Drosophila melanogaster: one gene and its partner. The protein of the gene in region 2 interacts with the protein of the main gene of each other region in a pairwise test. Each region holds a gene or a part of one and is shown on either strand. Other genes may lie near its edges. The genes, in order: Evi5 and Rab6.

Evidence for each region.
Region 1: the proteins of Rab6 (region 2) and Evi5 interact in a two-hybrid assay, tested with the Drosophila melanogaster proteins (2 studies listed by BioGRID).

Annotation. Positions count from the first base shown.
Region 1 is NC_004354.4:11,447,218-11,463,816, forward strand, and holds the start of Evi5 (ecotropic viral integration site 5), read right to left. Parts: upstream 7,122-16,599; 5' UTR 6,579-7,121; intron 1-6,578. Other genes in the region: HP5 (heterochromatin protein 5), read left to right, coding at 7,860-7,974, 8,065-9,270, 9,438-10,547, 11,013-11,095; CG43155 (uncharacterized protein), read left to right, coding at 12,665-12,907. UniProt on the Drosophila melanogaster protein: Functions as a GTPase-activating protein (GAP). During border cell migration in the ovary, acts as a GAP for Rab11 and is necessary for the maintenance of active receptor tyrosine kinases at the leading edge.
Region 2 is NT_033779.5:12,100,759-12,116,690, forward strand, and holds Rab6 (Rab6), read right to left. Parts: upstream 8,359-15,932; 5' UTR 8,042-8,358; coding exon 7,415-8,041; 3' UTR 6,463-7,414; downstream 1-6,462. Other genes in the region: patsas, read right to left, coding at 490-681, 737-2,302; ThrRS (Threonyl-tRNA synthetase), read left to right, coding at 3,137-3,298, 3,734-3,794, 3,930-4,363, 4,418-6,004; Phae1 (phaedra 1), read left to right, coding at 8,885-9,697; Phae2 (phaedra 2), read left to right, coding at 10,390-11,187. UniProt on the Drosophila melanogaster protein: Protein transport. Regulator of membrane traffic from the Golgi apparatus towards the endoplasmic reticulum (ER). Mediates membrane trafficking during egg chamber growth and organization, possibly upstream of exocyst component Sec5.

The DNA of each region.
Region 1 (16,599 bases), on a different chromosome or scaffold from region 2:
TCGATATATGATTCTATCTGCTGTATATTCAAGCGGTGTGCTTTGCGGGAGACCACTGTACCACTAGCATGTATATTTTTGTGCTGAATTGGCAATCCAGTGACATTATTTCACTGCCACTATCAATCCAACGCAAAGATAATTGCGACAGCAACAACAAAACGAGCGAAAATAATGCCGAGCAGACAAGTGTACATACATACATATGTACATCCACATGTATAGGCGGAATGAATAACGATAACTAATTGTAGTCACAGTCTGTTAACAGATGTTTACATTACGCTGGCGGCAATACAAAAAGTAGCCTCTGGACATCAATTAATGGATCTTAAATTAGACAGAAGAAGCAAACCATAAGTTTCAGCTTTTCAGCTTAAACGTCAGAGGACACAACATATAGTTTGTGCATATATACATATACATACATATATTTCTAGCATGGTCTGTGAGTTGGGCCCCTTAATTATTAACGCCCACTGTGGGTTCTAAGACCTCTCAAGTTTCTACAGCCTTAAGCTTGAGTGCAGGCAAAATGTATATATGTATATATACGTATAAATACATATTAATATACCAGCACATAGAGTTAAGAGTGAAGAGTGAAGTAGCATGTGTGTGCTGGCAGATATTTCTGCACTATTTCCAGTCTAATTCATTCATAAAAAGTTCTTCACATTTCGCTTTTTTTTTTACTTCAGCTTCTTGGCTTGAAGTCGCTGGCTTCGTTGGCTTTTATGAGAATCGTTAGTTCCGAGCCGACTCATGGTTTTGGCATTATAAATATATGCATTATACATACATACATATATGCACGACCGTTAGAATCGTCGGCAGCCCGCAGATGGAAAAGGCAAACAAAGAGTATAAAAAACACCATCACAATTTCTGATTCGATTCGATTCGCGGGGTATTTCAAACCAATCGCTCGCTTTGTCGCAGGTAAGTTTTTTTTTTTTCTTCAGCCAGATTATTTGTGACTCATGGCATTTGGGATGTAAATTAGGTATTTCCAAAACTTGTTTTGCTTTACCCTTTCACTATCGATTTGTAAAATATCTGTTTTTAAATTGTGTTTCGTATTCCCTTGCTTTTACTTTTACCCATGGAAATTTCGTTTAGACTCAAAAAACATTTATTAGAAAGAATATTTAACTATCAATAAATCTTATATGAAATAATAATTCAGAAAAGAAATTTAGAAATTGTATCAGATTTGATTGTACATCCAATTTGGAAAGTTTGTTTTCCAAAGTAGAGCATTGAATATTCGCAAATTATAATAATAACTTTTGTGCCAGCCTCATGGCAGTGTTATTTTATTTTATCTCCGCGGTTTACTCAAATTATACATCTGTTGCGACCGCAGTCACATCTGCTCCACATCTTTTGCCGACAGCCTGTCGTGCGTATGACCCATTTGAATGGACTCCACTGTACCGGGGCGGCGATTAGTCAGAAACCTGATGGTGAATGCTTTAGCTAATTTTTTGTCCGTCTCTTTTTTTTTACTCTTGCCACTTTCGAACAAATCACAATTTGCTTATTTCGTGTTTTTATTTAACTTTGTTTTTGTTTTGTTTGGCTTTTTGTGTGTGATTTTGTTGCTGTTTTTTTGCCGGACATTAATGAATAATACATGGGTGACCGGGGCGATAGCATTTAGCGAAGTTCATTTGTTGTCTTGCTAATTTGCGCACGCACACACGCCGCATTTGCATTTGCATTTGCATCTGCAATATGCATTTGCATCTTTTAATGCAACGAGTCACGCCCCCAAGCCATAGAGTACCACTCGGCACACTCGCGGCAATGGCTATAAGGCACATATGTATATAAACAGCCAGTGCGCTGATAAGCCTATTAGCACATCATAGCTTGGTTGGCTTAGAAACTCATTCATTCCATATAGGTTTGAAATATGAAAGTGTAGATTTTTATTCAAGTTAGACGACTTTAAGCAAATTGAGTGCAACTAGTATCACAAAATTTCTCAAAGGATATGTTGGATGTAAGCCCATGGGATGGCAGCAAATCCTAATCATACGTCTGGCCCGTATAAGAATGTTTCCTAATATCACAGCAAGTTGTTGTGCTTCGCTTGCTGTCCCCAATGTAATTTAAGCCCAATCATCAAAAATTCAAGAGTGCCACGCCCACGCAATCACACGCCCAAACCACCGCCCACTTGTGTGTACATACATATAGATACAGATACGGATACGGGGATACAGATACAGATACAGATACACAACACCGATACATATAGAACCAAGCCCTGAGTTGGCCAACTCTCATTAACCCAATTTGAATTGTTGACTCGCTGGCTATCTCGCTCCCACCCACGCCAATCGAGCCCTTGGCAATGGTGTGACGTCAGTCACAGTAAACACTCGATAATGGAAGCTGCTTAAATTATTCACATACTTTTACCGTCAAATAGTTGAAACATGGGTTTGAAAAATTCTCTTACTTTGAAACAATGTTAGCTTAAAAGGCAAAGCTATGGTTTCACTTAAGGAGCGTTCACTGTCTCTGGGTGGCAATTACAAAATGCATTTACCTGTCTGCTTGCCACAATTAGTGGAAATGCCAATGTGGCAATGTATATACATAATACCCAAGTGTCGCCCCAACTCGAACTCAATTTTCCATCCATCGCCACGAATTCTAAACAAGTGAAAAACAAGTGCAACAGTGGAACTGATAGGGCGTAGTTACCCATTAAAAACCAGAAGCAGGAAGGGCGAAATAGAAGCCACAGGGGGGGTGTACGAGGCCCAGACGATAAGAATTCGACGATTTCTTCAATCAGTCAAAAGACGCACTCCGCTCGAGCACAATTCAAGATTTGAGAACAATGAAACTTTATCGCGCAAATGACATTTACAGCTGCAGTCAAAAAAATGGGTTAGTTTGATACTTTTATAATATATACTTATACTTATACCTTATATACTTTTATAATAACTGAATTAATGGTAAGTTTGCAAGTGAAATACATTTAAATATTGATAGTTTACAGTTAATTTATTAGTTGTTTTGTACTATTAGCAAATCGAACTATTTCAACAACTTTTGTAGTGCATTTGAGTGGATTGAAAGGGGCGGCACGATGAAATAAAGTCTAGCAAACGGAAAATATGAAAAAAGGGGAAAAGGCAGCGGACAAATGGAATTATGAAATACAATTCCCCTGAGTTTTTTTTGGCCAGCCCCAGCCAACTTCCAAACTCATTAACATAATTCATTCAGCACATGATGCTGTATGCTACTAGTTACACTTGAAAAAAAAAACAGCTGGGATAACGCAGAGTAATATGGCAAATCTAGAAAGTATTTTGTTATTGTAGCTGTTTTTTTTTCATTTCAGTACTTAATGAGATGATCACGAAAAGCAATGACCTTTTAACTTAATCATTTCAATTAGCAATCAATTTAAATGTCAAGTTCAATTCCAAAAGGGATTGTTACAACACGATTCGAAATAATACATCTCCATTTACAGTGTACTCGTACAATTGTTGTTTCAGTTGCCATTGGCTAAAATAAGTTCCCAGTAGTAGCATTCACAAGTGCTTCAATAAAAAGTGTTTTCAGCGCAATATTCGAGCCGTTTTGGATTTCAACAGCCACAAGAAACCGAATTCGAAACCGAGACTGAAATTGAAATTGAAATCGAAATGGAAATGGAAATGGAAACAGACGAAACTCCTTCAGTTTCCAGCAATAATAAATAGCAAAAACGATATGTGTCTGCAATTGCTGTTGAATGACTGAGTGAAAAAAATATAGGGAGCGGCAAACAAAAACAAAAAAATCAGGAAAGAAAACTGGCTGGCTGAAGAAAACAACAAACAAACCGACATTGTTGGCCAAACTGTAAAATCATTGCTTGAAATCTGGAATTTGGCCAAACTCACAGTGGCTATTGGCTAACAGAAGCAAAGGGAAGAATATCATTGTAAATACGAAAAGTACACAAATTATTACAATAAACAATATTTCTGGTTCAGCTGTTACAAAAAATAAAGTATCGTAATTATTTCGCAGTTATCGGGCATTCACTGTGCCCCGAAATACCAGCACGTCTGCATTGGAGATTGGCACACATATCGGTATCGCCACTACCGCTTCTGTTGTTACCTGCTTTTCTATGCTTTGGGGCAGGTAAATCAGGTAAGCCTCCAGTTGGCCAAGTGGCCATAATAGCTTGGCCACGACTGTGTGGATGCTGGATGCCCCAGCCCCATTGTTGTTATTTTCGATATTTCTTGGCGAAACATACATACATATCGGTTTTATGTTGTGGAAGCTATTGCCTCTGATTTTACATAACGGCACTTTTTGCCTCGCCAGAAAGGGACGGCTAACAAAAGGTAGCTGCGCAATCGCAAGAGACGGCATGAGGTTGTCAAACTTTTTTCGAAAACAAATTTCAGAGGAAGTAACGAAATGCCAATAAAGTAAAGCCACGCTACATAGATACTTTTCGTTGAGCCCCACAAAGAAAGGTGGCAGCTCGATCATGAACTTGACTCCAATAGTTAGTATTCGCTTAAACAAGTAATTACATATATATTTTATAATTTAAAATGCACTTAAAATGTTAACAAAATCGCATTTATTTCGGAGTCTTTTTTTGCACAGTGATCACTGTAATTTCACAGTTGGCTTACTTAATTTGCGTTTAGTTTGGTTGCGCGAAAACGTGTTGGCAAGCGCTTGGTATGATCCGTTAAAAAATATGTATACATACATAAATACAAAATAAACGCCGATAGGGAAACAGACTCAAGTGCAAATTATTTTTGACATATATTTTTTGCGGCTTTGCGGCGAAGGTCGAAAGCTCGCGCGATCGAAATGGGCAACATAATAAGCAGCAACAAACAACCGCCAAAATATCATAAAACAATGCAAATAATGAAACATGGCGAAAACACTTGAGCAGATAGTTGAAAAACCCGCTAAACGCAAAAAGAATTCCGTTTGAAATAACCCAAAAAAAGTATCTTGACTTTTGTTATTTATCTTTTTTTTATATATGTATATGTTTTTTTTTTGTTGGCCAGAGAAGGCAGAATGAAGGCTATCCTGCCCCAACCTTCTCCAGATAATGACGGATGATACACCAACACACCCACGAGCTCTGCAAATTTATGATCATAATTAACATGACGATGACTTTCTGCTCTATGTGCTCCACTAGTTTTAATGCTCGTGATTTAAATAAATAGCACAACTGAAATTTGAATAAGCACGCAACAATCCCCACGCACAAAAAAAAAAAAACAAAAACAAAAGACTTGAGTGCGATGGGTCGGGTACAGCAGAGGTCAAAGGACTATGGCTGCATTTCCAAAGCAAAGTAAAGTATAAAGTAACTGAGCACTTGTCTGCCTTTGGGCATCTTTAAGATCTCGATATAATTTAGCAGAAAGCCCTCAGTTGCACGTATATGTAATCTACATACGGATACAAAGCTTATCACGACCGGCAGATAAACAAGAGTTCAGCAATCTTTTAGCTAGTTTCGACGAAATTCGCTGCAGCCAGTTTGTTTTTAATGCAATGAAAGCGTTAAATTAACTGTATTCATATTAAACAAACAACAATGAAGCTTAATAAGCTAGCAATTTACTATTTTTAATGCTAGTTTTTTCACCCCCACTGTTCGTTGCGTCTACGTAGGCCATGTGCAAGGTGGCAACGCTGCTTGCAAGGTGTCGCCGAGTTGGCAATGCGCAGGCGCAGAGCGGGCTAGAGCGAGATGGAGAGATGCACAGTGAAAATTGGAGAACAAGATTAGATGTTATTTTTAAATATTACTAAGCCATTGGTCGTAATTAATGGTTTACAGAAGAGTGGACGTAGAGTCATTATTCTTCGATTTCCATTTCCATTTTATAACTGGCAAATAGTTTTTCCCTCCCTCGATTGCTGAATTTTCCCACTGTGCGTTGGGCCCACGAAAAGTGGGTGGAAAGCAAAGGAAAGGAGAGCAAGACAAGGTTACAACAGAGCAGGAACAACAACAACAACTAGTGGCAGGAGCAGCTGATGCGGTGGGAGTGGAAGAGCAAAGCGAATTGGGAAAGAGGAATTGGGAAAGGGAAGCGGGCAATGGGAAATGAGCAATGGGAATGGCAATAGGAATGGAAATGGAAAAGGAAGTAAGAGCAGGGCTGCCCTGTTGTCATTGTTGTTGTTGTTGCTCAGCGAAGCTGCAAAGAACGATGATGAACGATGATGAATGATGATGGACAATGAGCGATGAACAATGGACAATGGACGCTTTTAATTACATTAATGCGCGAAATTTAAGCATACAAAATTAGTTGTACCCGATTTTCTTTTGCTGCTTCGCTAATTTGTAAAAAAAAAAAGGTAGCAACAGACACACACACGCGAGCATAAACCCACACAGACAGCGAAAGAAAGTTTCTGTATTTTTTCCCACTCCACTTTTTTCGTTGATAATGTTTACACACACACATTGAGTTTTTTTACGGAAGAAGTAAAGATGATGAAGAAGAACGACACATAAAATATAAATAAAGATGCTGGAACCTCACCTTTGCTGCTGCTTCTTCGGCCACTGTAAATGAACCGTTAGGCTGGAACAGGGGGTGGTGGTGGTTGCGTTAGTGCGCTGCTGCTGTTGTTGTTGCTGTTGCGGCAGCAACAAATTGCCGTTGTTTATCGTTTTTTTTTTATCCGCGTTTCGTTTTCAATCAGCTAGACTTTTCCACATTCGACGAACTCAATATGTCGCGATCAACTCGTATCCGATCGAGAATCGTTTGCATTAACTTTATAATACACGATTATTTTGACGACACTACCGAACTTTTTGCTGCTGTAAACGTCACACAAACACACACACACACACACGCACAGGCAATTGCACACACCTCAGCAGCAGCAATTTTTTCTCTCGCCCTCTCTCCCTATGCTGTTCTGTATGACTTTATTTTTATTTAAATACTAGTACTTTTTTTAAAAGGACTACTTTAATTCAATCACTCGTTATACATCGACCGAATATTGCACTGGAAAAAAATACAGCGTTCGTTCGACGACGGTGAATTCACGAATGTTTTTTTTCGCCCACTGGCGGTGTGACCGTCGCGCAAAAGCTGAAGTAAGCCGCTAAATAAGTATTACCATATACTAAAATTCTCTGAAGCGCAGATAGCTGATAACCGATAGAAAAGTTTCTACTGCATTATCGATTATTTGAATAATACCAAAAATACCAATGATAGCTGTTTAGCACAGACTCAAACCTGTACAGTGGGCTGCAAGTGCTGTTATTACATGTTTGTAAATGATTTTGAAACATTCAACCATATGAGATAAGTATGAATCTTAATGGAGTTATGTTGCTCAGAGTAATAAGTTGTTGTTCAGCATTCCATTGATGAAAAGTGTCCATAAGATCTTTGTCGTTTAATGATAGGAAATAGGCTATTTGTTGATAAATTTAAAATACATTTTGTGGTTAATGATTGTTGGCGACATAAATAACCCATAAAAATGCGCCGAGGCGGTGAAATATTTTCGCGGTATCTGCGCACGGGCACACCAGCTAGATGGCGTCTTTAGGAGTGTGTAAAATTAATCAGGAAAGTTACCTGAATGCAAACGCGATTTTAAAAGTCGCATCTGCTGATTAAGTGGGCAAATCGAGTGCTCCTCGCGCCACAATTAGTCCGTGGTACAGTGGCCTCACTAATTGCGCAAAACACACATCTGTAAGCGCATATTAACCGTATATTTTAAAGCGGTAAATCTGCGCTCTTTGCTAATTTTCATTTTCGTGGGAAAATCGCAAAGGGCTGAAACCTGCGATAATGGATATTTTTGATATGGTCAAAGCGGCGCCGCCGCCGCAAACTATTAATCCGGTGGACACCAAGCTCTCCACTCCGTCGCCCATACCGCCCGATTCGCCAATCGACGTAAATGGTAAATTGAGCATAATTTTGTTTGCCTGCAAATTGGCTGGCAATCCTAGAAGTTTAATAACCTCCAATCGTTTTTTCCATTTTCTGTCAGACCTCCTGGAGAGTGGAAACCAATTGGACGAGAATGACTTGCGCATGTCGAGAAAATCAAAGAATGTCGAACAGTGCAGCATTGATCTGTTTGATTCGGAAACATCATTCGACCATCTCGACGAGTCATTGGCCAAGAGGAAGCGTAAGAGCGTGGCTAACTCAAAACCAAACAAAAGCAGGAAATCCACTGTCTCTGCATCGACGCCGCACAACAAGAGGCCAAAAGTGTCCATTGACGACGACGGCGAGGCCATCGAGGAGGACCAGCAATCGATGGTGGTCGTTCCCACCAAGACGAAGGCTCAGCAAAAGATGTTCAGCGATCAGCAGTCGCCGAATGTTAAAAGAAAGGTGCGGGTGCTATTACGTCGCCTGAAACAGACAGAAATCGATTCGGCCGTCGAATCTTTGGCCAATTCATCATTTATCAATGTGCCCGAGATCGTTAACCAGAGCGGTACTAGTGGCCGTAGCAGGCACAAAAAGAGAAAAACGTCACCTAAGAAACAAAAGTCATCAACAGCGCAGACCAATTTCCACATCAAAGTTCCTTTGCAGAATGGCGCCAAAAAGCGTGCTCTGAACCACTCGTTGCGCGCTCATACACCGCCGCCCAGTTTGGCCAAGAGTTCTGAAAGCACACACTCCGCACTGAAGCGAAGTCCCAAGCCCAAGATCAAGGCGAAGAGATTATCCAGTCGCGGACGCAACACCGATCCGGATTTGGTTAAGCGTTATGGCGCGCATTTCTTTGGCTGTGTGGTGAAGGTGAGGAGGACGCGTTTACCAAGTGCCAAGTGGCCTGACTGCAAACCGCCTCCCATTGGCGACGGAGTTGTCAGGAAGGTGTATCCCAAGAAGGCGGTATCCTTCAGCGAGGCCGTCGAGATTCTGGGCAGCCCCGGGGGTCCATCACGTCGGTCTACTTTCGGTTCGCTTTCATCGAGAGGAGCTCCGAAACCGACACGACTGCAGCGTGTGGATGCCACTGGCAATGTGCTGGAGGACATAGCACTGACCTCCACGCCGCTCTTCTCGTCATCTTCTGGAGGCTCGCGCGAGCGGGTTAGGCGCCGCTCATGCAACGGTACGCCTGTGGTCGGAAGGCTCAAGTTACGCAGGTTGGGCCGCCTAAGCATAGACAACAGCTCCTCCAGGTCTGATGGAGGTGGAGATAATGATGATGACGATGAGGAGTATATAGGTAGGAGGATGCACTTATTAAACTGACATCAAACTCGATGTAATCGCATTAATCATGTCTCATTTTGTATTAAATGATTTCGTTATTTTTATGACAGGATTTGACCAAATCAAATTAAAGAAGAATTGAGCTAAAACTAATGCAATTCTCTCCATTTTTACGTCCAGTGCCCAACGATGTGCCGGGGTCCCAGAGATCTGGAACGCCTCCGCCCAAGAAAAAGAAGATATCCTTCACCACGACCATCAGTGATGATGAGGACGAAAAGCCGGTACTAAAAAAGCAGAAGGATGCACAAAAAAAGCAGCCAAAACCCCTAAAAGAAAGATCAAACAAAAAGACGGACAAGATGCTAAACGAAAAGGAGACGACTGACAAAATGCAAACGAAAAAGGAGAAAAAAACGGAAAACTCACCAGTTGTGGAAATTGAATCCTCCGATCCTGATGTCGAAATCAAACCACCAGTGAAGGAAATCGAAACGAATGAGCGAGAGGGAGACGCACACGAAACTGAGACAAATGAAGTAGAAAGAGATAGAGAAGAACAATTTGTGGATGCAACAGAGAAAAATACAGATGAGGCGAAGGAAAAAAAAGTAGTAAAAGATATGCCAGAGTTAAAAGAGGCTGACAATTCGGAGGAAAAATCGGAAGATGCTCGAGAAGAAGTTTTGCTAGACGAGGACGAGAAAAATCTGGAGGAAAATGCAGCTGAAATCAGCGATAACGCCGTCAAATCTTTAGAAAAACCAACGAACGAAGACAGGGTTGAGAAAGTAGAGGACGAGGTCGAGCATGCCGAGGAGTTCAGTGACTTGCCGACCCCACCACAGCTCCCGTCCACAACTGACGATAACGAAGATGACGTGCTGGAGATCCAGACGTCGTTGGACGATGTCCGTCAATTGCATACGCCATCATCCCGCCAGAGTACGCCCAAATCGCGCAGTCGCCTCGATTCCGGTGACTCCGATTGCAGCTTTAAGTCCGCCAGCGATAACGCCAAGCTGCTAGCTGGACAAGCCATTGAGGAAACAGAGCAGAAAGCAAGCAAAGCGCCGAACGATGACGAGGATCAACAAACAGCAGCAACCATCATCGGTGATCCCATCGATTCACCCGAACTGCCGGCCGAGCTTATGACCCCGCCCTCGGCGCCCAGGACAGTGAATGGTGAACCCACCAGCGAATCCAGATCAACGGCAACGACATACTACTCGCCCATGGAGGATCCCATGGCCACGCTAGATGACGTCATCATGGACCAGCTATCCGGTGAGTGCCAGACGATCGCCTCCATCGCAAGGCAATCTCAAATAATAGCATGAATACTTAGGGAGTACAAGTGGGGACTGTTAAGTCTTCAAGACAGTAAAGTACGTCATTTTCTACTTTAATTCTTGCCAAGTAGTCTCGCTTTTCACGAAACTTCTCTATTTTGTGAGGCCAAAAACTCTTACGTTAAAGCTCTAGTGACACTTGGTCATTGGTCAAGCATTCCATTGATTGATTTAATGAACATTCGCCCGTTGCGTACATTTGTCATTAAAACAACTACTTAATAGGCATTTTTTGTACTTTCTCTGGTCTTCTCTAAGTCTGGGTATCTTAATTAAGTGTAAGTGTATAGGCAATGCACAATTTCCAGTTGCAATTTGAACTTGCTTATATTTCATACTTTCGTAAATGTTAATTTGAATGCACCTTCTAATAACTATTTGCTCTGCTTATGCCTTTTAGAACCCAACTTTCAGTTGAACTCCAGCCGCCATGCCATCTCGAGGGGTACACTGGACGAAATAATGACCGCGTTAGAATCGTAGTAAGCTGGCAAATTGCGCACCAAGTACAGATAGACAGATACAGATCGAAACCGAAGCATACACACAGACACAGACATAGCTACAAACTCACACGCACACACGTAGGTTTATTAAGGACCGATTAATTTGTACATTTAACTGAATTTATAATTAGTTCTCCCTACGATCAAGAAGTAGTCTTACGTTTATTTTTAAAGACATATTCAATTTATATGCAAACTCACGTTGAAAATACCAAAGTATTTTTGCAAGAGAAAGCTATTGGTGCAAACGTTAATATTTTGCACTTATATGATTGCTAAATTAGTCAGCAAAACAGGGACAAAATTTAACACAGCTCACTCACTCAACTTGCAAATGTGTGCGATAGACCGTAAAAATTAATATTTTAATATTATTAACGGTTAAGCGGAATCAGAAAATCAATTTTCAATGTTTAAGCTACTTAAACAGAGCGTTACGTTAGTTTGACTTTCAAGAATACGTATTGTTCGTTTCTCATCCTTTTTTTTTTTGACAACTTAGATTTAAGAAACACTTGCGTTCATGCACATATATAAATATAAATATATATATTTAAGTATGGATCGTCTTAAATGTACTGTAAGTTCAATGTATTAATGTACATCATCATCATAAAATGTATGTATGTAAAAAGAAAACAGATTAAAAATGGATAAAATATGTTGCCAGTTTTCAATGGGATTGGCTGAGAAACTTTTTCGAAATTTGCCGCCATTTGAAGATGTTGCCACATTCGAACATTGACGTTGCCATATTGTGAAAAGTCTTGTACCGTTTATTTTAAGCTATGTAAAAATGATGTTATTTTTATTACCTAACATGTTTTTTTTTTCACAGAATATTCTACAGTTAATTTATACAGATTGAATAAATTTAATGTGCTAGAAAGAGATTTTTTTGTGACTAATTTGAATAGATAAATGGAAAGATGTTATCTTGCTTTATGAACAACACACACTTAACTTTCTGATATATTTATCAATCACAGGATAACTTAAGCTCGTTTTTATTAATGTTCTATTATATAATTAATATAATAAAATGTTTCTATACACAAGCAACCATCGCTCAGCGTTTCCGTTCTTATATATTCTTATTATAATAAGTATTATTTCGAATTTATGCAACGATTTTACGTTCGTTCAGTTTCGCGGCCAACGTTGCCACATGTTGCCACACGCTTGCCCCCAAAGGTGGCCACCTTTCATGCAGAGCCCCGCGTATCCAATGCAGCGCCAAAAGCAAAACAGTCGCAACTTTGACTTGTTGACGGTTGGTTCTCCTCGGGATTCTGGGGCCGCGTCAAAATTCCAGATCGTTTGGCGCGAGTGCGAACTATTTCAAAAGTTGCCCCTTTGCGTGAGACGTGCCCCCGAAATGTTGAACTCACAGGACCAAAGCGGGCCGGGCCCCTGAAAACCAAAAAGAAAATAAAGAAAGAAATTAAATAGATATAAACAAAAGAAAGAAAAAAACACACTATTAAATGATAGCACAAGTAATTTAGGCATAGGCCGGCCAAAACAATCAGAAACGGAGTGCAGAATGCCCATGAAGAAGGTGACGGTGAAGGAGTACGATTCGCAGGATGAGGCCAGCACCGAGCTGCTGGAGAAGCTCAAGCATCTCGACCGTCGTGTGGATGCCGCCGAGGGTGGTGGCTTGGCCAAGGGAACCGCCGGCGGACGAAGGAGCACCGCCTGCTGGCAGTCGATGAAGTGGAAGTCGGCGCTCAATCACATCGGACTGCTCGTCTCCCTGTCCATTTACTGCGGCGTGGGCGGATTGGTAAGCGATGGTGGGGGGCAACGTGTGTGCCCAGTTCGGTGCCCAGCAGACCCGAACATAACTAGGCAAATATTTAATTATTTTCAATATGTTTTTATTTATTTATTTTTGTTTTTCCATCCCCCCCTACCTTTGGCTCGCCTTTTGCGGCTGCCGCGAACATGCAAAATGATTTGTGTTGTTGGGCGAAAAGCCGAAAAATGGCTAGCGTTCAAATTGTTTGGAGCAAGAAAGAAATGCAAAACACACATAAATACAGTGGCCAATCGAGCAGGGGATTTAACTTGGCCTAAAAAGAAAATATTTAATATCCCTCTAATGCATTTTTAAGCCAACAAATTTAAGTCACTATATCCTTCCTTCAAATAAATGTTGCATATATAAAAAATTATGAATCCAACGATCGTGCACTGTACCAATGCGATTAAAAACAATAACCCAAACAGAGCGCAAATTTATTGCAGTGGGAAATAGTAAAAATTAGACCAAAATTAAGTCATAAAACTATTTTGTACATTTAAGTGCCCCGCCTCCCCTAATTGCCACTGCACACATATATCGCCACATATCCAGACGCCCAAATCTGTCTGGCTGGCGGAGCAGGAGGCAGTGCATCATGTGGACCACGTCCAGGCCTTTTTGGCCTTGTCTAAACATTTACATTTTCGCCAATGACGTCGTGGTTTCAGCTCTTGGCCAAGTTCTAGATACATATATACTTGTATATATATGTACATATGTGTATTTGGAACTGATGCCGTCAGTTGTCCACGACTGCAAACTACAACTGGCTGCAGTTAATCCAAGGCAAAGGTTGGAGCTGAAGCAGCCAGGAGTCCTAATTGCTGTGTCCCACGACTTGACATATGGCCAAGTGTCGTGCCGGGTGGGTATTTGTTATATTGCCTCTCAATTTCCGCGGACTACAACAATTGGCCACTGCGAAATGGATACGATGGTGTGGGTGACGGGCTAAATGAGCCAAACGAATGAATGTCGAAGCTTATCGAGAATGTCTGATATGTATAGGATATATAGTACGATGGAGGTAGCCATCATTAAGGAGCATCTAAAGCAGGCTATTTATACCGATAATCAGTGTTTTTCCTAAGCAGATTAGTAGATTTCTGTTGAATGTATTAAAAGATGGTTTGATTAGCTTAAATAATCATCCTTTGACTTGAGCTGGCGAACTTAAAATACATATTGTTAGCAAAGTGACTCTATTTTAATGTACTTCCATCGACGGACTGCCTTGGCAACTAATGATGATTCATGGCGCCTTGAGTTCTTCGATATTTTATTCTCGGCCACGTCGAATGGGAAATCGAACAGCATTATCTTGGCCCAATCAACACCTCGCTGATATATCGGAGAGCCATGCATTAATCAGGCAACACATTCGCATTCATATGGATTGTCGAGGAATCCCCACCCCCTTTTACGCCCTAGCTAAATTTTTCCGAATTTTCCGACGGACGAAACGTAACGGTTCGGGACGGGACCCTTCAATCTCTTGGCCACACACCACATGTTGGCCAATTATGCGCACTTCTCACTTAAATGGCTCATCAAATTTATTTCGAATTCAAATTCACATGGTGAATGGCATTTGTTTTATGTTCCGATTTCACGACGCCTCAATCGCTTGATCTTTTTCTTTATCCCAATAAACGGAGGAAAAATGCATTTAAGCTGTTGAAATAATAATTATATGAATAAATGGTAATCGTACTTAAATTATGTGCCACGTGGCATAAAAAATATTGCCAACTGAAAAATTAACCCTCCGGCTTTTGGTTTGCAATTTCGCACCCACTTACTTAACCCTTTAAACGGAAATGAATCCTGCGACGTGAGCGGAAGTGTCCACATCAGCATATCACATGTCATTCAAGTTTTCGCACAGTTTTTCCTCTATGTTTTCCGTTGCCGGAAATCAGTTTCGGTCACTTGACCAGCGACAAAAACTTTTGAACCCCATCGTCTTTTCTTCGATATTGGTTTTAACAAAAGTTGAAAATACTTAGCTTTAAGATGTGATCTTTGGATTTTCGGTGAAAATATACAGTTTTGTGTTTATTAATAGCCTCTTTGTTAGTTTGAATAAGTTAAAAGTATCTAAAGCTTCCCGAAATTTAAAAATAAAATTTGTACAATTTTTAATAGACTGATAAGTACTTTTTTAAAACATTTAAACAATATTTCTAAACCCATGTCGTCATCCTTTTGGGTGTCTCCATTTTCCGGAGATGAGCCGCTTTAAAGTGAAATCACTTTTTGGGTGGCACAAGCCCATAAACTTTTAATTGCTTTTGTTGACGAGCTGGCCATGAAGCAATTGACATTTATCTATTTAATGCGTTCGCTTCCTTTTTTCCCCGCGACACAACACCAGCAAGTTTATTTATTAATTAAGCCAAATTCCCAGGGGATCGAAGGGAGTGGGTCTCGAATTACCAGCAAACAGCCTCCCACTTTCACATATGGCAAAAAAAAAAAAAAAGAAAAAAACTCGTGGGATGAGTGGCCATAAATCATTTTAATTAGCATTTTGTAGCATACTTCAAGGCGTCGTCGATTCCCTGCACGTATGTGTGTGTGTGTGAGCTTTCTCCCTTTATCTGTGTGTCCCTGTATCCTTGTGTGCGTGTGTGAAAAATTTCACTTTGTCAAAAGTTGTCCAGCGGAAAAAGTTAGAGGCCGAGTGAATTAAGTTGCTGGCCAAAACAACAAAACGGCCAATTAGACTCAAGTCAACCCAACCCATTTTCCCACTTTCTCCCCTTTCTGGTCATTGGACAACAAAGGCCAAGTTATTAGCAACTACCAGCAATAATTATGTGGACTTTAGAGAATATGTAACGATTATAAAAAAGAAACATCTTTAAGTGGCTTGACAAGGAAAAATGAAAAGATATTGGGCAAAATGAACTCAGCTTAGTAAATATTCTCATCGCTTCAATTTTTCTCTATAAATTACAAAATAAATTATTTTAAATTGCTGGTATTTTCTGTGTAAACTTTTTATTATTTGCCTTAATATTTGGCTTTAGGACAACTATTTGTTTGATTCCTGCTGTCTTCCCTTATATGTGGATTGTCTCATGTGTTTGCTGGTGTTATCTGATTAACTGACCCATCCAAGCCTGCCCAGAAATGATTTTTCATATCGAGGCCAACTTGCTTCTTGGCCCTGAACGCAGGCCAAACAGCAAAAGCCAAAAGTCAGGAACTAGGCACGGCCCAATAGACGCTTTTCCGCTTTTCCGCATTTCCATCGCGGATGTTTGCAGCAGGAAAAGCAAAGACGTAGACGTGCGAAAGGGCAAAGACAGCAGAGGGAAAATCATTTTGGGGAACGCGGGAAAATCACGTCAGTTTCACATTAGCAGCATATTTTGACAAATTTTCCTTGCCAGCCAACCAGGCTCAAAGGTTAGACAAGCGAAAACAAGAGATATTACCAAAGATAGTTAGTCTATAAGCCTTTAGTTTATGTCGGCTTTCCATTAGATATATTTTGTGAGTTTTCATTATACATATACATATATATTTCACTTTTACTTTGTTGACTGCTTCATAAATTGAGTTGTTCGCTTTGTGAACTCTGACCACAAGTGATGAAATACCTAGAGTCCATTTGATTTGGTTTGCTAATGCCAAAACCACCATGGTCCAACGCTCCTGTA
Region 2 (15,932 bases):
CCATTTATGATTATAATAGGTATATAATATATAGAGATCATTAAATAACACATTTTATACATAACAATTTTGTACAAAAACTAACAAGAGAAGCGTATTCTTATCCAAGCCTAAAAGGTAATTAGTTAGTTAAAAAAAGCAAAAAGCACGGCTGGCCGATGCTTTGAACACCATTGCGGAAGGAATTGATTTGGAGCCGTTAACAATAATGGAATCTTAGCAATGTAATTTATTGATGCTCTGAATTGCACTTGGAATTTGCTATCGATTTGTCCTTCCGCAAGGATATGTTGATTGCAATTGTAAATGATAAAACACGCACTTGACGACCTTTGGTTCGAACTTTAAAGCATTCGAGTAAGCAGTAAGCCTGCGGAGCAAAACCAAACTGGCAGCCTACCCGAGTGGGTCTCTGGCTGCCTCCTCGCAACATTATCCACGCACGGGCAGCTTGCGCCGGCGAGCAGGGGCTCGATCCTAGATCCTTAATCAAATGTTATCCTCCAGCAGGAGATCGTTGTCATCGCCCCGGTCCGGCAGGCAGACAAAGAATTCGAGTAAATTCAGGATGGGACCACGCGAGAAGGGATTCTGATATCGTCCGCGTTTGTCCCGCAAGTAAGGATAACGCTTGTAGTTAAACATCTCGTTTGTGGTGAGATTCATGCAGGCGTGCAGGATCTGCCAGTGCAAATGATGTCAAAACGATTAATATTTTTGGAAAAGAAGCACTTACCGAAGTGCATGTGAGTATCCAACCCAAGCCGCAGAACACAACCGCCTCGATGAGTCCCAGCACATAGAGCATCGTGAAGCCCTCGATCATCACGCAATAGCAGGCAAAGTAGATGGTGAACGAGCAGTTGACGGCCACCGAGAGGACGAACAGGAAGAACCACATTCTGTTCCTCAGTCCCACGCAGTTGTAGATAAAGGGACAGTGGTGGTCAAAGTACGAGACACACCGGTTGCACACGCGGCAGTGTTTGGCTCGCAGCGGCCGGAGGCACCTGCAGCTGTGACATAGTCGGGTTAGCATCACATTTCGCTTCTTCAGTTTGTCGAAGTACGGAATCTGCTTGATGGCCCGGTAGTAGGCATCCGAACTGAGTGGTATATACCCCGGATCCCGGCGATTGGCAATGGCCCAGCTTATCCACATTACGGCGTTCCAGTATATAAAGCAATAGTGCGAGCGTCTCAATATGTTCCACGTAATGGGAATCGCACGGATCATGTACATGGGATAGCCCCAAAGTAGCACAGAGAAGAGAAATAGAAACAGCGGTCCCTTGGAGTCTCCAGCTCCGCCAAAGAGCCAGCCCCAACTTTCCGAGACTGAGGGAATCCAACGGGACTTCTTCTTCACCTCGCCGTACAGCAGGCGCACCACATCCTGGTGCTGATGAGCCTGTGCCAACATGATCGGCGTCTTTCCATTCTTGTCCCTCGGTTCCAGATCCAGCTGGGACTTCTCGCACAGCAGGCGAACGCACGTCATGTTACCAGACAGGCAAGCCAGATGCAGTGGAGTCGATCCAAAGTTGTCCGTCTTTTGAAGCTCAACGCCGGAATACATGAGGAGTCGCATAAGATCGGCATGTCCCTTGTACGCTGCCCAGTGGAGTGCCGTATCGCCGTTTATGTCAGTTAGGTTGTTCAGCGCTCCCATTCCAAGAAGATAGGCCGCCGTTGCAGTACGGCCGTACATGCAGGCGAGATGGAGGGGTGTAAGTCCCTTGAAGTCCGCCGCATTGACGGCAACTCCAGCCTGGAGGAGGACCTGCACCACGGACGCATGACCCTTCCTGCACGCCCAGTGAATGGGCCGTGGACCCTGCGTACCCAAACAGGGCAGATCGATCGGAGCCGTGCGTTCGATGAGGTATCGCATCAGCTGGACATTGCCGTTGAGAGCTATCCAGTGGGCTGGCGTGTAGCCATGACGATCCCTGGCCGACAGACACTCCATGCCGAACTTGTCCACGAGATTCTCCACCTCGCTGACCTCTCCGTTCTTGATAATATCGAAGATGTCGTCCAAACTCACGGTGGTGGCACCATCGAGCCCCTCAAAGAGGAGCACATTTTCGTGGTCCTCGACGCCGCTACTGCCGTGTCCACCGTCCGTGCCGCGACCCGTTAATGGCGGCGAATGCGGTCGATGATCCAAATGGATGTCGTCGGCGTGGGCATGGCCATCCTCCTCCGCGACGACCATGTTGCAGGAGGAGGAGGCGGTTAGGGGCAACGCCCACACACTGCGCGCCGCCCCCGGACTTGGATGCACCTTCGAGGCCATGTAGAACTCGAAGTCCACGCCCAGACGGTCCGCCGTTCCACCGTTGCCTTGATGCAGGGGGTTTTCCAGTAGGTGTGCAATCTTGTCGCCTTTTTCCGTTACGCTCCGACCGAAATTTGTACTCTGTTTGGCCAATCTTAGGCGTGGAATGCTAGGTAAACACGACTGCACTCGATGGCGAGGAAATTATGTCAGCACTGTGAGAAAATCAATATTTGTCCCGAATCGCAGGACTCGAATTGGGGCCACTTTCGAACTCGACTTGGCGCCAAACAAATCAACAGCTGACCGTTATTTTCGCAGTTGGGCGCGCAGTGTTGCCAACACATACTGGTAATTAAGACTTTTCTCAGCGAGGGGTGATTTAAGATTTAAGTCAAGAAGTATTAAAGAAAAAATATATATATTTAATTTGTTGGAAGGTCAATTGTTGAAACCGAGGTATCATTTAGCTTAACTTAAATATACTAGAAATCTCGTGGCATAAGCAAACTAAAAAAAAAAGGTTTATCAACTGACTTTTATATTAGTTTTAACATTATTGGGAAACATTTGTTTTCCGCCGCTAGAAACCTTTAAAATGTATACTACTATATTGCTTGGTACGAATGTTGCATTTTGAACTGATGCTAGCATTGCATTTTGTAAGGTTCCCATGTCTCTGTTATTTTGCCACCTGGTAACACTGTGCCCCTTTTTGATAAATTTGTTTCGTAAAAAATGGGCGACAACGTGGTGACGGAACTAAATAACTTGGATTTGAACAATCAAAAGGCATGTTAAACTCTTTTCGAACTGCATTCGAGTGTATGAGAAGTGCTAGTTAGCCGAATTATGTTGAAGTTGGCGCCGCAGGGCGGCAGATATTATAGCCAAATAAGCCGCATTTGCCAGTGGATTTTGCCGAAAATTCAGACGCAGTCGAAGCCACCAAAACAACAACAACAACAGCAACCACAATTGAAAGAACAACAACAACACAGCTACGCAACTTTGGTTGGTGTTTTAAGCTAAAAAGAATTGACCTAAACTTCAATTTAAACGCCTGTTACTGCTGGCACGTGTAAATGTTATGCTTGTCTGTGTGAGTGTATGCGATTCTCCAATGAATCAGTGCCGCCGGCTGTGACGTCACTAACAACCAACCAACTTCATGAGTGTCTGTTTTTTTTTGCTACTCTATTGCATCAGCCATAAAACGACGAAGATACGCTCAAAGACGGCTCGATAAAACAGAGATAGGAGCACCGAAAACATAGCACCGAAAAGTGCTCATTGCCATGTCCCCAATTGTTTAAACAATAAGAAAACATCAGTCGAAAGTAGATACCGAAAAAGAGCATTTGTCTAATTGCATACGTAGCACACTTGTGGCCACTTGAATATCTCCGGTTTATATTGATTTTTAACCTATTTCCGATGGATTTGCAGGCTGCCAAGATGAAGAAGGAGAAAAAGGAGAAGCCATCCGGCGGTGGAGATACTCGCAAGGGTAAGTAATTCTAACTAAGAATTAAAAACACAAAACGCACTTCCGTCTGTAAGATATGTAGCATATCTTTAAGATTAGCTGCCTTCTTCTCTCTAATACCTGAAATTCCACTGATCTCTGCTATATTGATTTCAGAACTCAGTCCCTTGCCCAAGTACATCGAGGAGCGCAATGTCTTCTGGGAGAAGTGCAAGGCGGAATACGAGGCCGAACTGGCGGCCAAGAAGCGTGAGCCCATCAAGGTGACACTGCCCGATGGCAAGCAGGTGGACGCCACCTCCTGGGAGACCACTCCGTACGAAGTGGCCCGCGGCATTAGTCAGGGTCTCGCTGACAACACCGTCATCTCCAAGGTGAACGGCGAGGTGTGGGATTTGGACCGTGTGCTCGAGGGAAACTGCACCCTGCAGCTTCTCAAGTTCGACGACCCTGAGGCGCAGGCCGTCTTCTGGCACAGCTCTGCCCACATCATGGGTGAGGCCATGGAGCGCATCTATGGTGGACACCTGTGCTACGGTCCGCCCATTGAAAACGGCTTCTACTACGACATGCATCTGGAGGGCGAGGGTGTAAGTAATTTGTGATGTTCAGTAAGAATTAAATTAAATTGAACGCCCAATTAGATCTCCACCAACGACTACGGCGCCATGGAGGGTCTGGTTAAGCAAATTGTCAAGGAGAAGCAGAACTTCGAACGTCTGGAGATGAAGAAGTCCGACCTGCTGGAGATGTTCAAATACAATGAGTTCAAGGTGCGCATTCTCAACGAGAAGGTGACCACCGACCGCACCACTGTCTACAAGTGCGGTTCTTTGATCGATCTCTGCCGCGGACCTCATGTTCGTCACACCGGCAAGGTGAAGGCCCTGAAGATCACCAAGAACTCCTCTACCTACTGGGAGGGTAAGGCTGACGCTGAGACACTGCAACGCGTCTACGGCATCTCGTTCCCCGACCCGAAGCAGCTCAAGGAGTGGGAGAAACTTCAGGAGGAGGCGGCTAAGCGTGATCACCGCAAAATCGGTCGCGAGCAGGAGCTGTTCTTCTTCCATGAACTTTCGCCTGGCTCATGCTTTTTCCAGCCGCGAGGAGCGCACATCTACAACACCCTGATGGGCTTCATCAAGGCGGAATATAGAAAGCGTGGTTTCCAAGAAGTCATTTCCCCCAACATCTACAACGCTAAGTTGTGGATGACCTCCGGCCACTGGCAGCACTATGCCGAGAACATGTTCTCCTTCGAGGCCGAGAAGGAGAAGTTCGCCCTCAAGCCCATGAATTGTCCAGGACATTGTCTCATCTTCGATAACCGCAATCGATCCTGGCGAGAGCTGCCACTGCGAATGGCCGACTTCGGTGTGCTTCATCGCAACGAGCTCTCCGGTGCTTTAACCGGATTAACTCGCGTGCGTCGCTTCCAGCAGGACGATGCGCACATCTTCTGTGCCCCCGAGCAGATTAAAAGCGAAATGAAGGGCTGCCTGGAGTTCCTGAAGTATGTGTATACCATTTTCGGATTCTCCTTCCAGCTGGTGCTGTCCACACGCCCGGATAATTACCTTGGCGAGTTGGAACAGTGGAATGATGCGGAAAAGGCGCTGGCTGAATCACTCAACGAGTTTGGAATGCCGTGGAAGGAGAACCCCGGCGATGGCGCCTTCTACGGACCGAAGATTGATATTACCATTATGGATGCACTGAAGCGTGCCCATCAGTGCGCCACCATCCAGTTGGACTTCCAGCTGCCAATTCGTTTTAATCTCAGCTACATCGCCGACGATGGCGAGAAGAAGAGGCCGGTGATCATCCATCGCGCTATTCTTGGCTCAGTGGAGCGGATGATTGCCATTCTCACGGAGAACTTTGCTGGCAAGTGGCCCTTCTGGCTATCACCGCGCCAGGTGATGGTCGTTCCAGTGGGTCCTGCCTATGATCAGTACGCCCAGTCAGTGCGGGATCAGTTGCACGATGCTGGATTCATGAGCGAGGCGGATTGCGATGCCGGCGACACGATGAACAAGAAGATACGCAATGCTCAGTTGGCCCAGTTCAACTTCATTCTGGTGGTGGGCGACAAGGAGCGCTCCTCGAATACCGTTAACGTGCGCACTCGGGACAACAAGGTGCACGGCGAGGTCTCCGTGGCGGAACTCATCACAAAGCTGCAAAAGATTCGCGACGAATTCATCGCCAACGAGGACAGCTTCTAAGACTCTATTTCGAACTATTTATCAAAAGTATACTTAACATTTGCATAGCAAAGCAAGTACGCATTTTTGTTCTTTCTATGTATTTACGCTTACGAAACCGGAATTCACAAATAAAAAACCAAATCCAAACACATTTTAAGGTGTTTCAAATAGAAGAGAAGAGCATGCAATCAAATAAAAGCAATTCGATTCAATATACGATTATTAAGCTTCCCCAACTAAAAATCGTATTTTTCTGATCCACCTTAAGCCGCCTATTTCACTCCAGTTTCTTGACGAATCAGTGGAATTTGTCAGCAATTGAGGACTAGTCATGCCGACACAGAGGTGCGCTGTAGTCCATTCAGGAACGATTTGGAATGATAAGATAAGTCGGCCCACATTTGGCGGAAAACTTTTTGGGAAAGGTGTGCGTGCACCCACAACGTATGAGTCATGTTTTGAATTTATTTTTTTGTATTAATTTATTGCTAGTATCTTGTATACTTTTCATTTTCATAATTTGATTTATTAAAAATTGCATCAATAGTTTATGTTTTTATTCAATTATCAATTTTGTAAGCTTTTGCTTTTCGCGTAAAAAATGCACAAAGTTCTCTCGCTAATCGAAGCAAAAATCGTTAATAATATTGTTAAGTGTTTGCTCTGCTCGTGCTCTGCTTATCTGTTTCAGTTTTAGTCATAAAAATACATATTTTATATTTGTGTATATTTATTCATAAGATGCACGTGGCCAAGTCCTATGCCATCCACAGTTCCAGTTAGCAGTCGCGTTCGCTGTGCTAAAAAAAAAACCGAAATCCTAACCAAAACTGGCGAAACAAAAGCCGCAAACAGAACAGAACGGGGGCTAAAATTGGAAACAAAATGCCTGGCTGGTGGAATCATTGAACACAGACTGGCTGCGTGGTATCTACGACTGCTGGAGATGCCGAGAGCTGGAATGTCGGAGGATCCTGGGACCGCCTGGCCTGACATAAGTACATGGTCTTGGGTTTTTTTTCGTTTAGAGGGTTTAGGGGGTATCGGAAATGCACTACACTATATTCTTGTCTGGTAGCTAACTCGCAAATATTACTCTGATCTTGATCCCTGATCTCGTGTCAATGAGTTAGCATTCGCACTCGCCTGCGCTCGGGATTAGCTCGTCAATTAACAGTAATTAGTTAGCCGATTTCGTTAATTGTTGTTTAGTCTATTTGCCTTTGCTATCATTTGTTACTTTATAAATAAACTTAAACGTAAAGTGTGTATGTGTGTATAGATGTTGAGGAATCCGCCGCAGATCCGGCCAGTACATACACCTGACACCTGTGTACACCAGTGCTGCTGGCCGATCTCCTGCATCTGCATCTGCTCCTGCTGTTGAAAAAGGGGGAGAGGATGGTTGGATCGTCGGCTCAACCGGTTCTAGCAGGCGCAGCCGCCCTCGGGATCCTTTGTCTCGTTGGGTGAGTCCTTTAGCACAACCTCCTGCATGTCCTCGGAGGGCTTGTTCTCCGTGGAATCCATGCCGGGCAGTGCCGCGGCCACCCGTCGGAACAATTGCTTCACATTGTAGCCGGCCTTGGCGCTTGTCTCGATGAACATCACGTTAAGCTCCTTCGCCTTGCGCTCACCCTCCTCGGTGGACACCTGACGCTTGTCGGAGAGATCCGTCTTGTTGCCCACCAGCATGATGATGACGTCGCTACCCCGCTCCGTGCGCACGTCATCGATCCACTTGGAGGTCTGGTGGAACGAGTTGGTGTTGGTGATATCGTAAACGACCACTGCCACCGTGGAGTCGCGTATGTACGAGGGTATCAGCGAGCGGAATCGCTCCTGTCCCGCCGTATCCCACAGCTGCAGGCGCACAGTGCGATCCTCCAGGTACATGGTCTTCGATAGGAAATCAATTCCGATCGTCGCCTGGTACGTGTTGTCGAAGCTGTCGTACATGAAGCGCGTAATCAGCGAGGTCTTGCCCACACTCTGCTCGCCGAGGAAGACGAGCTTGAACTTCCGCAGCGGATTGCCAAAATCTCCGGATGACATCTTCCTCAACGTACGTGTCTACTTTTTCTTAATTACGGGTTTGCTGAACTCTCTTCTCGCTCCGCTCCGCTCTCACCAATCTCCACCCCTCCTCACTGTTTATAATGGGGCTGGGCCAGCGGTTTTCGGGGCCCTTTCGCACTGCGATTTCTCGGGATGCACCGCTTTCAAGTTGCCGCACTCTATTACACACGCTCTAAATGCTTTCCGTCTGGCTAAAGACTCAATTGCGGCTCGAATGGCTTGGTAAATCGCTAGGTTGAGTCGTGGAAAAATTACGGTCTCTGCTTCTTCTTCTTTAACTTCTGAGTCAGTTGCTGTGTGACCAGAGTGGCAATCAAAAGCAATTTCTCTGCCACGCTATCGATAAACGCATATTTGTACTAAATCGATGTTTTATGATTTAAAAAAAAATCGATTGATATTCGTTACCGTTATTAAATAATTTTAACTAAAATTTACCTGCTTAAAATGTTTAAATACTGATGAAGTACAAGGTAATTGCTTAACTTTTTATTTCATATTAAAAAGTGAATACTAAGTGTAAGAAATACTAACAGGTGATAACGCGATTTTCAAATATAAAGCTCTCTAAAGTGATTTGCTTGTTTTTAGATAAACGAGCGTAGGTATTTGCCCATCCTATCGGTGGAACTTGACGTACTTCTGTCAAAGAGTCACTGTTCGGGCGTCGCTTAATCTCAAATTATAATAAGTGGTTATCTGAAGAACACACGGTCCTTAATTGAAAGCCTTATCTGCTGGCGCTGGCAAAATTTTGGAATGGCGAATTAATTTAAACGTGCCGCGATAAAGGTCGATGTAAACAGTTCCGCGAAAACTATGTTAGCGAACGGACAGCAAACAAAGTCGTTGGCCAGTGGGCTTCTTCTCCTACTGGGCATATGCCGAATATCCGGAGTGGCTATCGGCGCACCCGAGGGGCGTGTCGTGGGTGGATCTCCGGCAGCGGTGAATAGTGCTCCCTATGCGGTGTCCATGCAGTACGGTGGCACCCATTACTGTGCCGCCAGCATTCTGAATGCCAACTGGCTAGTCACCGCTGCCCACTGCCTGACCAATAGTAACCAGGTGCTGGGCAGCACCTTGGTGGCCGGAAGCATCGCGGTGGACGGAACTGCAAGCACTACGCAGACGCGGAGCATCACGTACTTCGTGATCAATGACTTGTACACCGGCGGAACTGTGCCCTATGACATCGGAATGATCTACACGCCCACCGCCTTCGTTTGGAGCGCCGCCGTTGCCCCAGTGACGCTACCATCCTCGGGAGTGGTGCCCACTGGCACCGCCAATCTGTACGGATGGGGCAGCACTAGCACCACGAATACCGCCTCCTATCCGTCGACCCTGCAGGTGGCCACCAATGTGCCTATCATTTCGCTGAGCTCCTGCGAAAGCGCCCTGGGCACCAAGGGCAGCGATGTCCACTCGACCAATCTGTGCACTGGTCCTCTAACTGGCGGCGTTAGCATTTGCACCTCGGATTCGGGCGGACCACTGGTCCAGGGCAATGTCCTTATTGGCATCGTGTCCTGGGGCAAGTTACCTTGTGGTCAGGCCAACTCACCGTCGGTTTACGTGCAGGTCTCGTCGTTTATATCGTGGATATCGGCTAACCAGCAGGTGTCCTAAATAGTCGAGTTTTTCCCTATTTTTTCAATAAAAGCAATCAAATGTGTGTCCCTAGTGGCGGTCACTTAAATGTGGGACTTTCCTTCGCATCACAGCTACTATATCAAACAACGAGCTGTTTTTTAAAGTTTATCTTATCTCGTAAAGAGAGAGGAACACGGTGAGCAACCAACGAACAGATTTATATGCTTCACATATTTTCGGGCTGTAAATAACAATTTCTTACATTGCACAATAACAGAATAACGAACCGAATCATTGTGAAATATGTGAGTTAAGTAAATAATGTTGAGACTATGGTTTCAAAATCTAAACATTTCTTACCAGAACTAACCTTTTTAACAATGGTCTTATAGATATTATATTTATAATATTTTCCTTATCAATGGACGGGGATCCCCTCGAAAATACAGAATGACAAACTTGAGATATTGCCCTCAACACCCTTTTGCATCTATTCTCATTGTTGACTGAGTCTATCATAACAAGAGAGAAATATATATATATAAAATCGTATAATCTTAAGTTATAATAGGCTCTTATCTGAAAGACAAGGGCTCTGATTGAAAGTTCTTATCATATTCTCGGTTGGCTCGCATGAAATTTTTTATCACGAATTAATTTAAAAAGCCGTCGATAGTGCCAATGTAAACAGTTCTGTGAAAACCATGATTGCGAATGGACAACAAACCATGTGGCGCCATCGCCACCTGGCCACTATCCTCCTGCTGGCGGTGTGCGTTTCCCAAGGATCTGGATTAGCCTTGGACCAACCCGAAGGACGCGTTGTGGGTGGAAAAGCGGCGGCGGCCAATAGTGCTCCGTATATAGTGTCCATGCAGTACGGAGGAACTCACTATTGCGCCGCTAACATCATTAATTCCAACTGGCTGGTAACGGCTGCTCACTGCCTGGCCAATAGGAATCAAGTACTTGGAAGCACCCTGGTGGCTGGAAGCATTGCGGTGGCCGGAACAGCGAGCACAACACAGAAGAGGCAAATCACCCACTATGTGATCAATGATCTTTATACCGGCGGAACTGTGCCCTATGACATCGGATTGATTTACACGCCCACCGCCTTCACTTGGACCGCTGCAGTGGCTCCGGTGAAGCTGCCATCGTCCGGCGTGAGGCCAACTGGAAAGGCTGACCTCTTTGGCTGGGGCAGTACTAGCAAAACGAATAGCCCCTCATATCCGAAAACCCTCCAGGAGGCGAAGAACATACCCATCATAAGCCTCGACTCCTGCGCTGCGGCACTTGGCTCTAAGGGTCAGGATGTGCACACCACGAACCTGTGCACAGGTCCTCTCACCGGCGGCACCAGCTTTTGCACCTCGGACTCCGGTGGTCCGCTGGTCCAGGGAAACGTTCTAATCGGCATCGTGTCTTGGGGAAAACTTCCATGTGGTCAGCCCAACTCTCCGTCGGTGTATGTCCAGGTCTCCTCGTTCATAACATGGATAGCAGCCAACCAAAAGAAATGAATTCTGGAGTATAAGATAGTATCTGAATAAAGAAATACTTATGAGATTGCAGTATCACGTGCTTATTATAAATGACAACTTTTAGAGTCTTTAAAATCATGCATTAATTGATTGTAATGTATCTTTGAAAGAACTTAAAAGCATTTATATACATTTTGTTATATGTCGAATTATCTTATCTAATAAATAAATAGAGCTAGTTTAAGAAGATGGTAACCAATGTATATATATATTTTATAACAAAGTAAATCAGATAAGACTATAAATGTTTTAGATATCCAACTTATATGTGAACCCAATTTTAACTAGATAAAGCTTTCCAAGAAGTAGCAAAAATAAAGATATAAAAATAAGCTTTATCTTTTCTTTTGTTATAAAAAACTGAATATAAACCAAAAAAGGGTAATGTCAACAAGATGTTATCTTTACCAAGAAATATCCGGATTAACTTTCCATTTTTCTATTGCACAACTATTCTGAGCACTATACTCCCCAGGGAACTTAGCACTTGGAATGAGTTTTGCTTTTGAATCCGTCTCACTTTTGGTGTCAGCACGTCCAGATTTCATTTCATCCCAGACACTCCTCTTCAATCGCTGTTTTTATCAATCATATTGATCGGAATGTTCTTATTGGGAAACTAATTGCTCGGTAAGTTGCTGGACACGATCGCAATCAGTTTATTGACACGACCAGTACATAATTGAATGGACATATCAATTTCCCATCACAATCACACCAGCAAAGCTTATTAAGTGCCTCCAAAAGAGCTTCGCAAGCAAGGCGGCCAAGAGCGCGGAACGTGGCCCAAAGAACGATGGCCAGAACACGCCCGCAGCTAATCAGGCTCTAATGGCGATAAATATTTCATTCTATATTATTCTGTTTCCATTCCCCCAACCAAACACGCCTCCAAGTCCCAGTCAAGCTGCCTGGCCAAGGAGTCAAGACAAAGCGACGACTCAACGGGAATGGACAGGGGAGTCCACCAGAACAGACCCACCGACGGACCCCCGCCTCCATCAGACGGACAAAATCTCCGACGCGATCGATGAAGACAAGGCTGATAAAGGAGTCACCATGCGGGAACCAGAGATGCCGCAGTGAGTCCACCCGAATTTCGAAAAAGTGGAAGTTGCATTTCTTATAGAGAGTAATCAATTGCGATCATTTGCAGCATATTATGAAGAACAAGTTTTAAAACTCAAAAAATTTGTTTAGTATAAGTTTAAAAAGAGTTTTTAGTTTATAAAAGTGAATACAAACTTATGTTGCATTCACGATGTCATCTCCGTTCTGAACAAAAGAAATTCATCTGAGCAAAGTTGAGGCAAGGCCAGATCACTGTGCTTCCTTCGCAATCTTTGTGTTATGAATCGAACAGATTTATGCAACCTGGCGAACAACATGGGCGGCTGCTCCTCCGTCGCCAGTCTCCAGATCCCTGCTCCCTCAATCGTTTGCTGCGTTCCTCCGCCGACGAGGATGAGGATGAGGATGCGACCGCGACATTTGGCTGCGCCATTATGAGTAATGGAGTAATGCCTGGAATTATTTACTTGGGGGCTTTATTGGCGTCGGCATTTGGCATCGGAATGAATGTCTGTGCTTTATGGTCTTTTGTGTATATACACACGCAAGTATATATTATTATATTTTTTCATGTCGGGATTCTGCGGTCGGAAAGACTGCGAATGGTTTTATAATTGGTAAAGGGAAGAACGGATTATTGAAATGAGTTAGATATGATTGGGCCATAAATAAGAGGTATAGATTGCATTGTTGATTCAAATAAAGTGACTAATGTGTTTGAAAAAATAGTAAATAGTGTAAAATATACAAAATATGTGTGAACAAATAAATTCTTGTCTTAACAAATAATATTCATATTTGCATTATGCTAGGTATAATTTTGTGTACATGAAGTTGAAAGTAAAGCCCCGCAAAAGTTACACCATTATTTTAATCACATGTCACGGACAATTATGTGTGGTGTCAATGAAGGCAGCTTGTCACTTTCTAGTTCATTCAACTCTTTAAATAAACTATTGAAGGTTTTTATTTTTCAAAAAAATAGCCCGTCCGAACTTTTATCTTTGCAATCGTTCCGCGAACTTTGGCCAATCTTATGGACAAAATCTAAAGCGAAATCTAATTTTTAATTGGCCAACAAACTGCGGACAAGCGACATTTCATGCTTATCGGCAGTACAACCAGCAATTAATCTCCCTTCGGTGGAATGGAGAAGACTCTCTTAGCAGATGCTCTCTTTCTCTCGAGAGAATATATCTCTTTCGCTGCAGCTTTCGAACGAGAATCTTTGGCGCGCTCGAACAGAAAAAGAATTCAGTATGCAGACAACTTTCTTCCGAATGCTTTTCTTAAAAGCAACTCGAACTTGTTGCTGAGCCTCAGTTTGAAAACAGCACGCGACGCGTTCAGAACGAGAAAACCATACGCGCAAGGTGGATATAAAAATAATAATAAAAAAAAAACACAATAAATGACTCTTCTTCGAAGACTCAAAGACTAGAAGACACTTCTTGTGGTCAACGATGATCGAACCCTTGAGTGGCAGTGGTGAAGTGCAAGCATAAGCAAACAAACAAATCAATAATAAACTAAGCTGTGGAGTTATATTCAATGCTTTTTTGTTTTTGTGCCCCACAGTTAGAGTGGATATAGGAAAACCTCAGACTGGACAGGTATGTGAACTTGCGGAAAACTCCAGGAATGCATCATTGGGAATTCTTGGTTCGTTCTTGGGGTCGTTGTTGCGGTTCTTTGTGGCCTCGCCGCCAGCTCTTTCCACACTTTGGGCATGCTAAAATTTAATAAGTGTTTTCCTCAAACCGTTTTTCCTGTCGCCTCTTTTTCACGCTTTTTTTTTCTACGTAGCTGTTCTTGTTGTTCAATTCTGTGATGCATTACCGTAGGGGGGGGGGGTGTGGTATATGCAGTTGGCACGTCCCTCTTTGCCGCCACCAACTTGGCAAATTCTTGCGGCACATTTCATTTATCTGTTTCGCTCCCGCTGCCAAAAGCATTTTCCGCGTCGTGTCGTGTTAACGGTATTGTTTACATGGTTAATAGAACCCACCGACTTGGTGGCCAGATAAATAAATACTAGTAGACACACACAAAAACCTACAGCCGGAGCCAAAAGACCATGCTTCAGTGCACTCGTTCTTGCGGCCGCAGAGACAAAAGCAAAATCACACACAATCGAAAGACTCAGGCAACGAACTGACTCCACAGGCAACGATTCCTGTGTGTTGATCTAGGTGTAATGAGTGCGGTAAAACAACATATACATTTTAATTCGTTTCTTGGAAGACTCTAATAATATTATCAAAGATTTCTGCACTTCTTTGCGTATTTATCAAAGCGTAAAGAGAACATGAAAATTCATATTTTATTCAATACAAACGAAAGACTGAGGCAACGAACTTTCTGGTAATAAAAAGTAAATGGTGTATTTATTTAATTGAATTAGAAATGAAATTCCCAACTGTATAATGTTAATCAAGTTATTCCGATTCCCAGCAAATCTATGCTAATTAAATAATGCTTACCAGCTTGCGCAGACCAATTAAAGAAATAGTCGATGACAGTAAAAGAAGCAGCCACCAAATTGCTTATTTATTAGCCAAAAGAAAAGAAAATATCTGGAAACGGCATGCTAATGATGTAAACTAAGCATTTAACTGTTAAGATGCCAGCAGCGGCAGGCAAACATAAAAAGTCGCATCACTGGGGCACACTGTGAGAAAAGCGGGGAGGTTCAATTGGGGCAAGACGAACCCAAGGTAACGCCGACAAAAAAAAAACTTAGGCGACTTCCTAAGACAAATCAAAGCCGTTACAATGGTCGCACAGCCGCAAAAAACGCACTCGGAATTGGAAAACCGGGGAAACCAGAAGGGAGAAGACCGAGAGTGTGGAGATCAAGGGAGAGAATGTAGGTTGCACTGGCTTTAATTACACTGCACAAAAAAGGAGGGTCAACAAATAAAAGATAAATATAACTTAGAAAAAAATCACCGTCGTACAAGTTTTGGGCAAAGTTTGTCCATCCTAAAATGGGAATATAAAATAAGATATTATTATTATTTATTAAATGTAATACTTAGTAAAATAAATCTATCTTTCGGCTTAATACAAATAAATCTTTCAAAATACATTACGTAAGAAAAAATGTGGATTTCTAAGATCTACCTTGTCATTATTATATACTCGTCTTTGTTTCCTGTGTATAAATGTTCAGAGTAATCTTTTGCTACTCAGATACTGACTGTGATGTTGTTCTTACTTTTTTGTTTAAGAAATTACCGTTTTATGTTGACAAAAAGAAGCAAGAAGAAGCAGCTGCGCTAGAAGAAGGAGAACTGGCTTAAGGTTGAGCTGGGAGTTTGAGTTTGTGTTTGGCTTCTGTGTGATTACAGTACCGCTCCTAATGATCATCATTAGATAGCCAAGGGTTTTTTTCTCTTCCATCCAGCTGCTGCGCCGATTCTACTGCTTCTTCTTGCCACTTCTTGGAGCTTGACGTGACGACATGCAATCGCAAAGAAGGTAGAAAGAAGAAGCTATAAGAAGCGGTAGAACAACACCAATAATATTTGATAATGCAAAGCGGAAGCTATAAAACTCGTGTGTAAGACGACATTTTACGTTAGACGGCCATTAAGGCGAGCCAAAAGAGAATTTGCTAATTGCCTGCAATTGAAAATGTTAGTGAAAGA